Linked DNA regions of Callithrix jacchus. The protein of the gene in region 1 interacts with the protein of each later gene in a pairwise test. Links are inferred from orthologs where the notes say so. Each region holds a gene or a part of one and is shown on either strand. Other genes may lie near its edges.

Region 1 (4,238 bases):
AGTTCACTGCACACTCTAAGTCCTGGGCTCAAACAGTCCTCCTGCCTCGGCCTCCCAAAGTCCTGTAACAGCTGCGCACTGCTGTGTCTGGGCTGTTATTGCTTGTTGAGGACTTGCCACGTGCCAAGCTTTATTCTAAGCACTGGAAATCACAGTGATAGGGGATGTCCCTGCTCTTGTAAAACTGTACTTTAATTCTCTCCTGCTTACAAAATAATAACAGAAGCCTTTACTAAGGACCTCCTGGTGCCCCGCTGTGTGGCTCCAGCTCTGGTCCTTGCCCTCTGCAGCTTGTTATTGCACTTAGAAGGCAAAGCATGGACATGTCTGAAGGAGCGTGGGAGCTACTGACCTGCCCAGGCCACAGGTACCTCAGAGAAAGGGGCAGGGGCAGGTATGATTCACCCTGTGACCCCAGGACCCAGCCCAGAGCCAGGCACATGGTGGGAGCTTTTTTTTTGCGGGGGGGTTCTTTTTTTTTGAGATGGAGTCTCGTTCTATTGCTCAGGCTGAAATGCGGTGGCATGATCTCGGCTCACTGCAACCTCTGCCTCCCAGGTTCAGGAGATTCTCTTGCCTCAGCCCCCCAAGTAGCTGGGATAACAGGTGGCTGCCACCACATCTGGCCAAGTTTTGTATTTTCAGTAGAGATGGGGTTTCACCCTGTTGGCTAGGCTGGTCTCCAACTCCTGACCTCAGGTGGTCACCTACCTTGGCCTCCCAAAGTGCTGGGATTACCGGTGTGAGCCACCGTGCCAGGCCCAGAGATTTGTGAACACTCTGTGAATATGCTAGCCCAGGGGTCCAGGAGACAAGGGAAGGCCCCCACTATGGGTCAGTTATTTTCAATCCATTCACATTTCTGATGCAGGGTCCTCAGAAGCCGGGTGGGATTTCCACAGGCAGGTAAGGGAATGGTGCAAAGAAAGGGGCTTCCAGGCAGAGGGCGTGGCAAGTGGAAAGGTCTGGTGGTTGCAGGTGGGGGAGCACAAGTGGCCTGGCGTGGCGGGGCTCCAGGATGGATGTGCGCTGGGAGGGATACGATGGTATTCAAGGCAGCAGGAATCTAAAACCCCGTCATCCCTACAGCCCTAGCTGGTGGCTCTGTGGCCGTCAGCAAACAGGGTAAACTCAGGTAACCAGGGAGGCAGCGTGACTCTGGGCAGGGAGAGGTGTGCTGGTCAGCCAAGCAGCTCCTCAAATATTTGTGCAGCACAGACCACGTGCAAGATGTTGCCACGGGAGAACCGGCAGAACCAAGGCTCCTGCCCAGGTGAAGCTGTTGCGCTTCAAAGCCAGAAAGCCCTTAGGTGCCAGTCCCTTCCCTGCACAGATGAGGAAAAGGAGGCTATTCTTGCCACAACCACACCCGTCATGAGTCAGGACTTGGAAAAAAACAAACACCGGTATGCGGCAACAAAAGCCCTGGGGCTTTGTAACCAGAGAGACCTCAGTTCACATTTGAACCCTGGCCCTCCGGCCTCCCCGCTGTATGACCTTGGCCTGGTTACCCAACTTCTCTTAGTTTCAGCTGCCTTATCTGTGATTGCCCCATGACAGAGCCCCTGTCTCAGAGCTGTCCTGGGGATTAAAGGGGCCATGCAGTGCCAGGCACATAACTGTACTGGGTCCTTTATAGTTGGTATTTTCATCTACCTCTCTGGGTGTGTCTCCTCATTGATCAAATGTGGGCCACGCCAGGGCATATACAATGCTCAATACATGTCTGTTTCTTCCTTCTATCTTCAGAAGGGTAAAGAGAACTGTTCTGGTCACACTGTGGGCCAGCGGCACATAGTAGGGCTAAATAAATGTGTCTCAGAGGTAAAGAGAATTGTCCAGGTCACCCACTGAGTCAGTTTGATGCTGTATTACAGGTGGGCACTGAATGCAGTTTGGTGCCTGTGAGGTCGGCAGCACACAGTAGGTGCTTAATAAATATGTGTGCATGGAGAGAATGAATAACCCTATTAAGCAAGTGACTGTCAGCATCTGACCAGGAAGCTGGGAGCAGACAACATTAACATGGGGCAGAGGTCTGAGGGGCAGCGGGAGCCTGGAATCCTCCAACCTTCCTCATGCCTCTATAGCCAACTGCCAGCTTCAAGGGAGCCCCACAGGGCACTGGCCCTGGGCCCTTCAGTTCTTTACCTTCCCCTCCAGGGAGGGCCTTGGGTCCAGCAGCAATGCGGCCATTCTCTCCCTGCCCAAGAGAACAGAGTGAGGGGTGGGCTTAGGTGAGGTGAGGTCCAGCCTCAGGGAGGCAGACAGCAGGGCTTTCAGAAGGGGTCACCGAGAGTCTTCGGTGGCACCGTGGCTCCCTCACACCCCAGCACGCTCAACGCCCCAGATGCCTCATGCCGGCTTCCCATTTCCACACCTTTGCCTGCACTGGGCCCTCTGTCTGGGGCGCCTTTTCCTCTGCTGTCCACCTGGCAAATATTCATCCTTCAAACTGGCGTGGGCAGCGACTCCTCGGTGAAGCTTTCCCTGATACCCAGTAAAGCTAACGCTCTCCCTTCCTGTCCACCCGGCTCCTCTGTGTCCGTCCCAGCACTTGCCACCTGGACTCTACAGCTGGGTCACTGGTAGGGCCCCCTACACCCTGGGAGTGAGCCCCGGGCCAGGACGGGGGCTGATTTTCCTCCATGTCTCCCATGTATGCCCACTCTCTACTGCCCACACTCCTCATCCCAAGGTTTGCTCTCCCAAGATCAGGAGCCTGGTCCAGGCAGCCCTTACCTCGGGGAAGACCTTGTTCATGTCTTCGGCTTTCAGCTCCCTGACTGGGGCTGTGTGCAGAGAGCTCAGCATGGGTTCCCTGCCTTGTCACCAGGGGCAGCCTGGAGGAGGGACAGGCAGGAGCTTTGCCTGGGCCACACCCTCCCTGTGGGCAGCCCCCTCCCTCCCAGCTGCCTTCCAAGCAGAGGCAAGGGCAAGAGGGCCCTGCTCTGGCCAGGCTGTTTCCTTCTCTGCCGTCTGACAGCAACACTGCGAGGCTGGAATCCTCATCCCCATCCACAGATGAAGAGCCAGAGGTTCAGAAAGGGAGAAACTGCCCCAGGTCGCACAGTAGGTGGGAGGGGTGAAACCCAGAAACTTTTCAAGAGTGCTTTTTCCTCCGCATCAGCGAGAGAACCGGAGGAGCTCTGGTTCCAGGGGGATGAAGATGCAGGTAGAAACTCCCGGAATTAACATTTCAGTGGCTAGAAAGCAGGGGTCATTTTCTCATTGCTGTTCTTTCTGTTAAACAACACAGGTAATCCAGATTGAAAGAATATGCACTTTCCGCTAAAAGTATAAAGCAAATATAACTTTAAATTATTTTCTTTAGAAGTGTGGCAATGTGAATTTTTACTGTCCCTGAGGTGGCACCCGAAGTAGGGAAGAGGAGGGGGGCTGGTTGCTTGCCTGAATAACCCCTTCTACGCTCCCAGTGAGTGGGTTTCCCTAGCAGCCTGTCCCACTGCTGAGTAAACCTGGAAGCTTGAGGGCCAAGTCCAATGACCCAGACCAAGAAAGGAGAGATGGCTACCTCCAGAAATGAGCTCAAGAGTTCTAGGGAGGATCCCCTTTCACCTGCCTCTGACGCCCATAGATTTTCCAACCTGCAATCAGCCTTTTCTTTTGCTTTGGGAAATAAAATGCTGAATCCATGTGGGTGCAAGTAGGAGGGGCAGGTGCAGGGGCAGCCCTTGGGAGGCAGCAAGTAACACTGCGCAGAGCTGACACCTAGACCAGGAGAACGGGGCTCTCAGTAGGGCCCTACCACTGGCTCTGACTTGGGCAATTCACTCCCCTTCCTGTGCCTCCGATCCTTCATCCATAAAATGAAGATATAAACCAGATGAAGGGGGTGTTTTAGTTTAGGATTCCCCAGAATCAGACTCTAAGACAATATTCGAGGGCAAGTAGATTTAACTGGGAGTGATCCCAGGAAACAGTGGTCGGGGAATGAGGGAAATGAGACTGGAAAGAGAAGGATCCTTAAACGCAGGTTCCTGCTGTGGGCAAGTGGAGTTCAGCCCTGTTGGGGCCCTCGGGGAAGCCAGGGGCAAAGATGCACCTCAGTGATCCCTCTCAAGGTGGGGGGAACTGGGGTATTAATCTGCCAGCTCCTGCCAGTCTTGGTTGAGAATGGCCAGAGGAGGCCAGGCATGGTGGCTCACACCTGTAATCCCAGCACTTTGGGAGGCCAGGCAGGTGGGTCACCTGGGAGTTCGAGACCAGCCTGGCCA
Region 2 (3,500 bases), on another chromosome or scaffold:
GCTAACCCGTGACCACAGCCCCGCTGAGGCGTGAGTGCGTTTCTCAGAGTGAAGTTGATGGCTGTCACGCTCACTCCCGACTCGAACGTGGCCCCTTCACAGACTAAGTCCCAGGTCGCTTCCTCCCCGCAGAGGGCAAGGCTCCTATACATAAGGCTGGACTGCAGCAGGAGCCACCCCCGAACACGGCCTGAGGGGAGCGGCAGCCCGGGCCTAGAGGTGACACAGGCACTTCCAGCTGCGACTGGCACCTACTGAAGACACTAGCACTGTAACGCATACACTTGTTGATGTGGACCTACCTGTCACAGTGAGAACTCTTGGAGCTACTCCGGCCGGACTCATGCTGGGCATCCAGCAGTATTTTTTCCATGTCACCATTATAAATAGAAACCGAGGCTGGAACACTGCTCCCGTTCCCATTATTGCTAAAGTGCAATTCTACCCAGGAGCCTGGTGGGGACAAAAAAAGGGGCACAGCTGGATTTTCTACCCATTCTGGAATCTGTTCGTCCTATCTAACCAGCTGCCCTTCCATTTCCAAGAGGTAGCATGTGACACACCCAGAACCATCCCTTAAGCCCCAACTTTAAGGCATCCCTCTGCCCACCTGCATGGCAGTGACTGGTCTATGCATGCTCTCCCTGGGTACAGGAAGGAAGCCCCCTTGGGGTTGAGATCACATATCTGTCCATCTCTTACGGTCCCTTTATACCAAACCAATGTCCAATAACTCTGCCAAGTCACCAGAATCCAATTAGAAGAATACTTCCTTACAGTGAATTTTATAAGAAACAGCCTGCCAGGGTGTGGTGGCTTACACCCGTAATTCCAGCACTTTGGGAGGCGGAGGCAGGTGGATCACCTGAGGTCAGTTGGAGACCAGCCTGACCAACATGGAGAAACCCCGTCTCTATTAAAAATACAAAATTAGTGAGGTGTGGTGATGCATGCCTGTAATCCCAGCTACTCAAGAGGCTGAGGCAGGAGAATCACTTGAATCCAGGAGGTGGAGGTTGCAGTGAGCCGAGATTGCGCCACTGCACTCCAGCCTGGGCAACAAGAGCGAAACTCCATGTCAAAAAAAAAGGTAAGCTTAAAGGATTTAAAGTTTTCTTTCAAAGGTTTATATTATCTCTATTTTTTGTTTCTTTTAGAGACAGGGTCCCGCTTTGCGGTCAAGGCTGGAGTGCAGTGGCACAATCAAGGCTCACTATAGTCTCAAACTCCTGGGTTCAAGCCATCCTCTAGCCAATGCCTCCAGAATGACTGGGACTACACGCATGTACCAGTATCCCTGGCTATTTTTTTTTTTAAGAGACGTGGTCTCGCTATGTTGCCCAGGCTAGTCTGGAACTTCTGGACCCAAGCAATCCTCCCAGCTCGGCCTCCCGATGTGCTGGGATCACAGGCACAAGCCACCATGCCCAGCCTCTATTACTTGTATTGTGTGGCTTTGCAGTTATTTAATTTCTAATGAGGGTGAACACGTTTTTTACACATTTACTAGCCATCTGGATAGCATTTTTTTTTTAACTGGCTCTTCAAATCTCTTGTTCTTTTCTATTATCTGTGCTTCTCTTATTTGTGGGCATCCAGCAGTATTTTTTCCATGTCATCATTATAAATAGAAACTGAGGCCAGAACGAACGCTGCTCCTATTCCCATATGGCTCAAGTGCAGTAATTCTAGGATAATCCTATATCCTAGACATACGTTTTTCTTCATTTAAATACATTGCAAGTAACTTTCACTCAGTAGCGCATACTTTTCTCATGTCTTCTGATATATAGAAGTTCTAGAGATTTTAATTCAGTCAAATTTAGCAATCCTTCCTGAGCTGAGATATTCTATTCTATGACTTTCACACAGCTCTGTTACGACATTCACATTTAGATCCAGAATCTACATGGATTAATTTTTCCACTGATGTGAAACGAATGTCCCATTTACCGCAGACAGCTCCCGCCTCACCCCTGCTCCGGGCTGCTTCCTTTGTCGGAAATCAAGCGTGCATATATGCACAGGTCTATTTCTGAGCCCAGGAGTTTTTCTGCTTTGTGCCATAGGTTTATTTATTTAAAGCAAATCTGGCAGAAGCTTCCTCTGGTAGCATATGGAGGGTGGAGTGCAGGAGGAGGAACGTGCAGGCAGACCATGAAAGCCTGAGAAACTTACGTGCGAAAACAATGGAATGATCTCATTTTGCAGTCACTATAATTGTATTAAGTAGAATAAGCACCAGGAGCTGCTGACTGTCCTTAAAGCAACACAGCACTACAGAACACCATGCCACTGTGCGAAGGGAGTAGCCTGTTAATCCATCACGTTCTGTGGAAGCAAAGGCAGGTGCACAGCTTTCCACGCACTAACTAGGCATCTCCTGAAAGAGGCCTGGCTCAGCCTCAATGCGCCACTTATCACAGAGTATATTTCATATTAGCCAGAAAAGAAGCAAAGCGAAGGCCCAGGAGGGAAATGTGGATTTGCAACTTACACCATCAGCAGCCTCCCAGTAAGCTGCTAACAAAATGACCCCAGATTTCCAACTGCAGGCATGATCCTTCTCTTTGGCCTCTCACGTTGCCTCAGGTCCTGGCCTACGCGAACATCGCTAAGACAAAGGCAGGCCTGGGTCTGTCTTGGAGCCTGGAGCTCACTGGAGAAGGGCCCAGGCCACTTGGCCCCACACTCTGGCAGAGGCTACACGGTGCCATCAGAGATGTACACATCACACCATCCCTGAAACTGCTCATCTCATTAGTATTTCCAGATACTACAATGCCACTAGCCTTCCTTCCCTCTGGAGTTGATGGTGACATGCGGCCAACTGGTCCTTGGAACAGCACCGCAGCCTCTGCTTTGGCCAGCTGTTTTTCTAGGCTCAGTCTACAGCACTCATTCTGGGCCTGCTTCAGTTTACTTGGCTAAGGTGAACGGTTATTCATCTTATGACACGGAACACAAATGGAACTTGTGTGTCTCTTCCACGATGCCACTCAACACCGTCACCCCCACCACTGGGGTGTCCACAGTTCACGTCCATTCTGTCTACCTAGAGTTAGTGTCGGAACCCACGAGATTAAGGGCTCAGTCCCACAAAACTGCTCCCACAGATGCAAGCTGAAAATGGGGCATCCAGATTACCCACAATTCTACCCGTCCCTCTACTCAGGGGATCCCACGCACCCCCTCAGGTTCAACAGTTTGCTACAACTCACAGAATCCAGAAAAACACTTTACTTACATTTATCAATTTACCAGAAACAGTAATTCTGGAGCAGCCAAATGGAAATGACATATAGACCAGAACCCCAGCTATCCCAAATGTCCAGACCCTAAGCCCTAAACCCAACCCTAACTCTAATCCAAAACTAACCCCAACCCTAAATTCACATGTACCAACCCTAACCCTAACTAGGCTCTTCACGACCAGACCCCCAGCCACTCCACATGTCCCAACCTTAACCACGCTCTCCGCACCTCATATGGCTCCAGAA
Region 3 (3,500 bases), on another chromosome or scaffold:
ATTAAGGCTCCAGTGAATGGAATTTTCAGGTATTGAAAGTAGAATGAATACCAAGCAGGAGTAATAAAAAGATATACACATCTTGACACATTGTATCATTGTTTCACAAATTGTAGAATGCCAAAGACAGAGTGAAGACTAAATACAGCCAAATAACAAATACAGATTTCTACAAAGCAAGAGTTCAACTGACAGCTGACCTTTCAACAACAACAGTGGAAGCTAGAATGCAACAGAATAATATGGAAAAATATACAACACAGTGGAAATATATCTTGGAAGTGTGGAGAGAAAATAATTGTCAGGGGAAATTTAAGGTCATTTTCTTTTTTTTTTTTTTTAATTTTTTATTGGATTTTAGGTTTTGGGGTACATGAGCAGAGCATGCAAGACAGTTGCGTAGGAACACACATGGCAGTGTGCTTTTCTTTCCTTCTCCCCTTCACCCACATTTGGCATTTCTCCCCAGGCTATCCCTCCCCACCTCCCCCTCCCACTGGCCCTCCCCTTTTCCCCCCAATAGACCCCAGTGTTTAGTAAGGTCATTTTCTAATAAATCAAATTGACTACTCCCCACTGACCTTCACTAAAGAGACGACTAAAGGGTACATTTCAGAAAGAAAGAAAATTATCTCAGAAGGACAATCTGGGATGTAAGAATATCTTCATGACTCAAAATAGAGAAGAATTTCTTAAACTTGATAAAAAATATGATAAAGAAACAGATTGACATACTCAACAGCATTAAAATTATGGGCTTAGTTATCAAAGGAAACCATGAAGTATGTGCATGTTAGCAGCATAGATTTGCAATGTTTATGACAGTCCAAGAAAGCCGCACTATTAGCAAGAATTCCTATGAATCAATAAGAAAAAGAAAAATCTATTTTAAAATATTTCACTGACAAAAAAAACTTTATAGAGGAGAAAATATTAATGGCTAATGAATATACAAAAATAAGTTCTATGTCATTAGTAAACAATTCCACAGTGTCAGTGAGCAACTGGGAATGTGCCACAGCATGATGTGAGGTTAGTGGGGTAGGGGATATGGTTCACTGAGGACTCCAGGTCATTTTTAAAGAAACAGTCACTACTCATTCCAGCCTACTCTGGCCTGAGAAATGGGTACACTGTGGCCAGAACCATGGATTTTTAAAGAAATGTCCAAAATCTGGGCTTTTTTCATGTGAAATATCCTGTTTTAAATGTTGACAACTTATTCAGAATTGTTTAAAAGTGTATATGCCAATACTGCTTGAGCCAAGAAGGCACATTCACAGGCCAGACTTGGCCAAGAGTCCCTCTGTTCACAATCTCTGCATTAACCCCTTGAATTTTCTATCAATAGGACCTGACTTTACCGTGACTCGGAGGGGCCAAACTGACTTCCCCATTTCTCTCTTGGTTCCCTCCTCACTTCACCTGAGCTTTTAACTAGAGACAGAAAAGAGATGCCCTGCAAAGGGAAACATGCTCCACACTAGCTAATGAAGCTCCTTTTATGCTTTTATCTTCCAGATATTTGGGTTCTGGGTCTGGATCCTGGTAGCTGCCACCCAGGTAGCAAACCCATTGCTGCAAGGATGGGTGATGTATGTCTCAGTCACCTCGTTTCTCATCTCCCTGATGTTCCTTTTGTCTTACTTGTTTGGATTTTACAAAAGATTTGAATCCTGGAGAGTTCTGGTAAGAACCAGCAGCATGGCTCCTCCTGGGTGGACGTCCTGGGTTGGGTGAGGACAATTGGTCTTTCCAGGCAAATAGGGATACTGGGCTAGGCTCCTGTGGAACCAAGACTTTTTATCTTAATATGTTTACTACCAGGCCAAAATGAAGACATTTCTCTGCAGGACAAAAACTTTCCTTGTATTCCCCTTCACTGCCTTCCCTGTGAGGAGAATTTACAGTGCCTTGTGATAAAGCATATTCTGTTGTGTTTCCCCTAAATTTTCTTCCTGGTAAAATCCTTGGAGAAACACTGAAGAAAACGCTAGTAGGAAAAATATTACTCTAGTCTCAAGGCTCTATCACAATCTGTGACAAATTATTTCTTCCATCCCACATGAATTTTATATGTATATATAAATTATACTCTACAGATAATTTTGGATGTAGATGCTTTCATGTAATATTACATCATTAGTTTTTATGTTGTTGTATCATCTCAAAAAACCATTTAAAAGTATTCCATACTGAACAATTGAAGACATATTTAAAAGTACAGAATATTGTATTATAGCCCTTCATGTAGCCATAACCCAGATTCCAGTATTATCAAGATCTTACCACATTAGTTTCATCTAGCCTGTTTCCCTACTAAGGAATATTAAAGCAAACTCCAGACATCATGTCATCCTATTCCACATGCTTCCGTATGTTTCCAAAAAAACCCACAAACTTTCTCACATTATCACAGATATACAAAGTTAACAATTCCTCAGCATACCTAAGACAGTATACAGTGGTTCCCCCTATCTCTGGAGGATAAGTCCCCAGACCCCCAGGGGATGGCTGAATTCTCAGATAGTACTGAACCTCGATTATACTATGCATGCACTTCTCTTTCCTTCTTTACGATTTAACAGATAGACAATTCATTCTTACTGTAGATCTTAACGATCTCAGCGTATTTTTTTCTTTCCTTATTAAGTTGAAAGCTTTCACTTTTTCACTTAAAGAAAGCACTCTATGACTTCTCTTTGGCACATCCAAATTGCAAGCATCACTACTCTTGCGATGTGGGGCTATTATGAAGTAAAATAAGGTTTCCTTTAATGCAAGCATTGCAGTACCACAACAGTTGATCTGATAGCCTATTCACTTTGTAGATGGCTACAAAGTGAATAGCATGGATGGCATTGGCAGTGTGGATGTGCTGGACAAAGGGATGATTCAGGTCCCAGGAGGCACAGGGTAGAACAGCATGAGATTTCATGATGATACTCAGAAAGACACACATTTAATTGTTAATTTCTGGAATTTTTCATTTAACATTTCAGACCAAGATTGACACTAGAAAACCAAAACATACTGATCTTTATTAATCTGCCATTACTTACAACATAGATATTACATTTAAAACACAGTGTATTAATCTATTCTCACACTGCTATAAAGAGCTACTTGGGACTGGATAAATCCTAAAGAAAAGAGGTTTAATTGACTCATAGTTCCTCATGGTTATGGAGGCCTCAGGAAATTTGCAATCATGGTGGAAGGTGAAGGGGAAGCAAGGTACGTCTTACATGGCAGCAGGAAAGAGGGAGGAGGGGAATGTGTCATACTTTTAAACCATCAGATCCCTTGAGAACTCATTCATCATCATGAGAACAGCATAGGGGAAACTGTCCTCATGATCCAATCACCTCCAACCAGGTCCTTCCCTTGATACATGTGGATTACAATTGGAGATGAGATCTGGGGAGGGACAAAGTACCAAACCATATTATTAAGCCTTGGGCCCCTCCCAAATCTCATGTCCTTCTTACATTTAAAGA

Evidence for each region.
Region 2: the proteins of LDLRAD1 (region 1) and BNIP3 interact in binary tests that used the Homo sapiens proteins (3 or more experiments, as listed by UniProt). The two-hybrid records come from large-scale screens. The link is inferred for Callithrix jacchus from reciprocal best matches to the Homo sapiens genes LDLRAD1 and BNIP3.
Region 3: the proteins of LDLRAD1 (region 1) and MALL interact in binary tests that used the Homo sapiens proteins (3 or more experiments, as listed by UniProt). The two-hybrid records come from large-scale screens. The link is inferred for Callithrix jacchus from reciprocal best matches to the Homo sapiens genes LDLRAD1 and MALL.

Annotation. Positions count from the first base shown.
Region 1 is NC_133508.1:91,206,253-91,210,490, forward strand, and holds the start of LDLRAD1 (low-density lipoprotein receptor class A domain-containing protein 1), read right to left. Parts: upstream 2,801-4,238; 5' UTR 2,764-2,800; coding exon 2,743-2,763; intron 2,204-2,742; coding exon 2,152-2,203; intron 1-2,151.
Region 2 is NC_133513.1:125,276,604-125,280,103, forward strand, and holds part of BNIP3 (BCL2/adenovirus E1B 19 kDa protein-interacting protein 3), read right to left. Parts: intron 454-3,500; coding exon 303-453; intron 1-302. UniProt on the Homo sapiens protein: Apoptosis-inducing protein that can overcome BCL2 suppression. May play a role in repartitioning calcium between the two major intracellular calcium stores in association with BCL2.
Region 3 is NC_133515.1:21,272,423-21,275,922, forward strand, and holds part of MALL (MAL-like protein), read left to right. Parts: intron 1-1,521; coding exon 1,522-1,689; intron 1,690-3,500.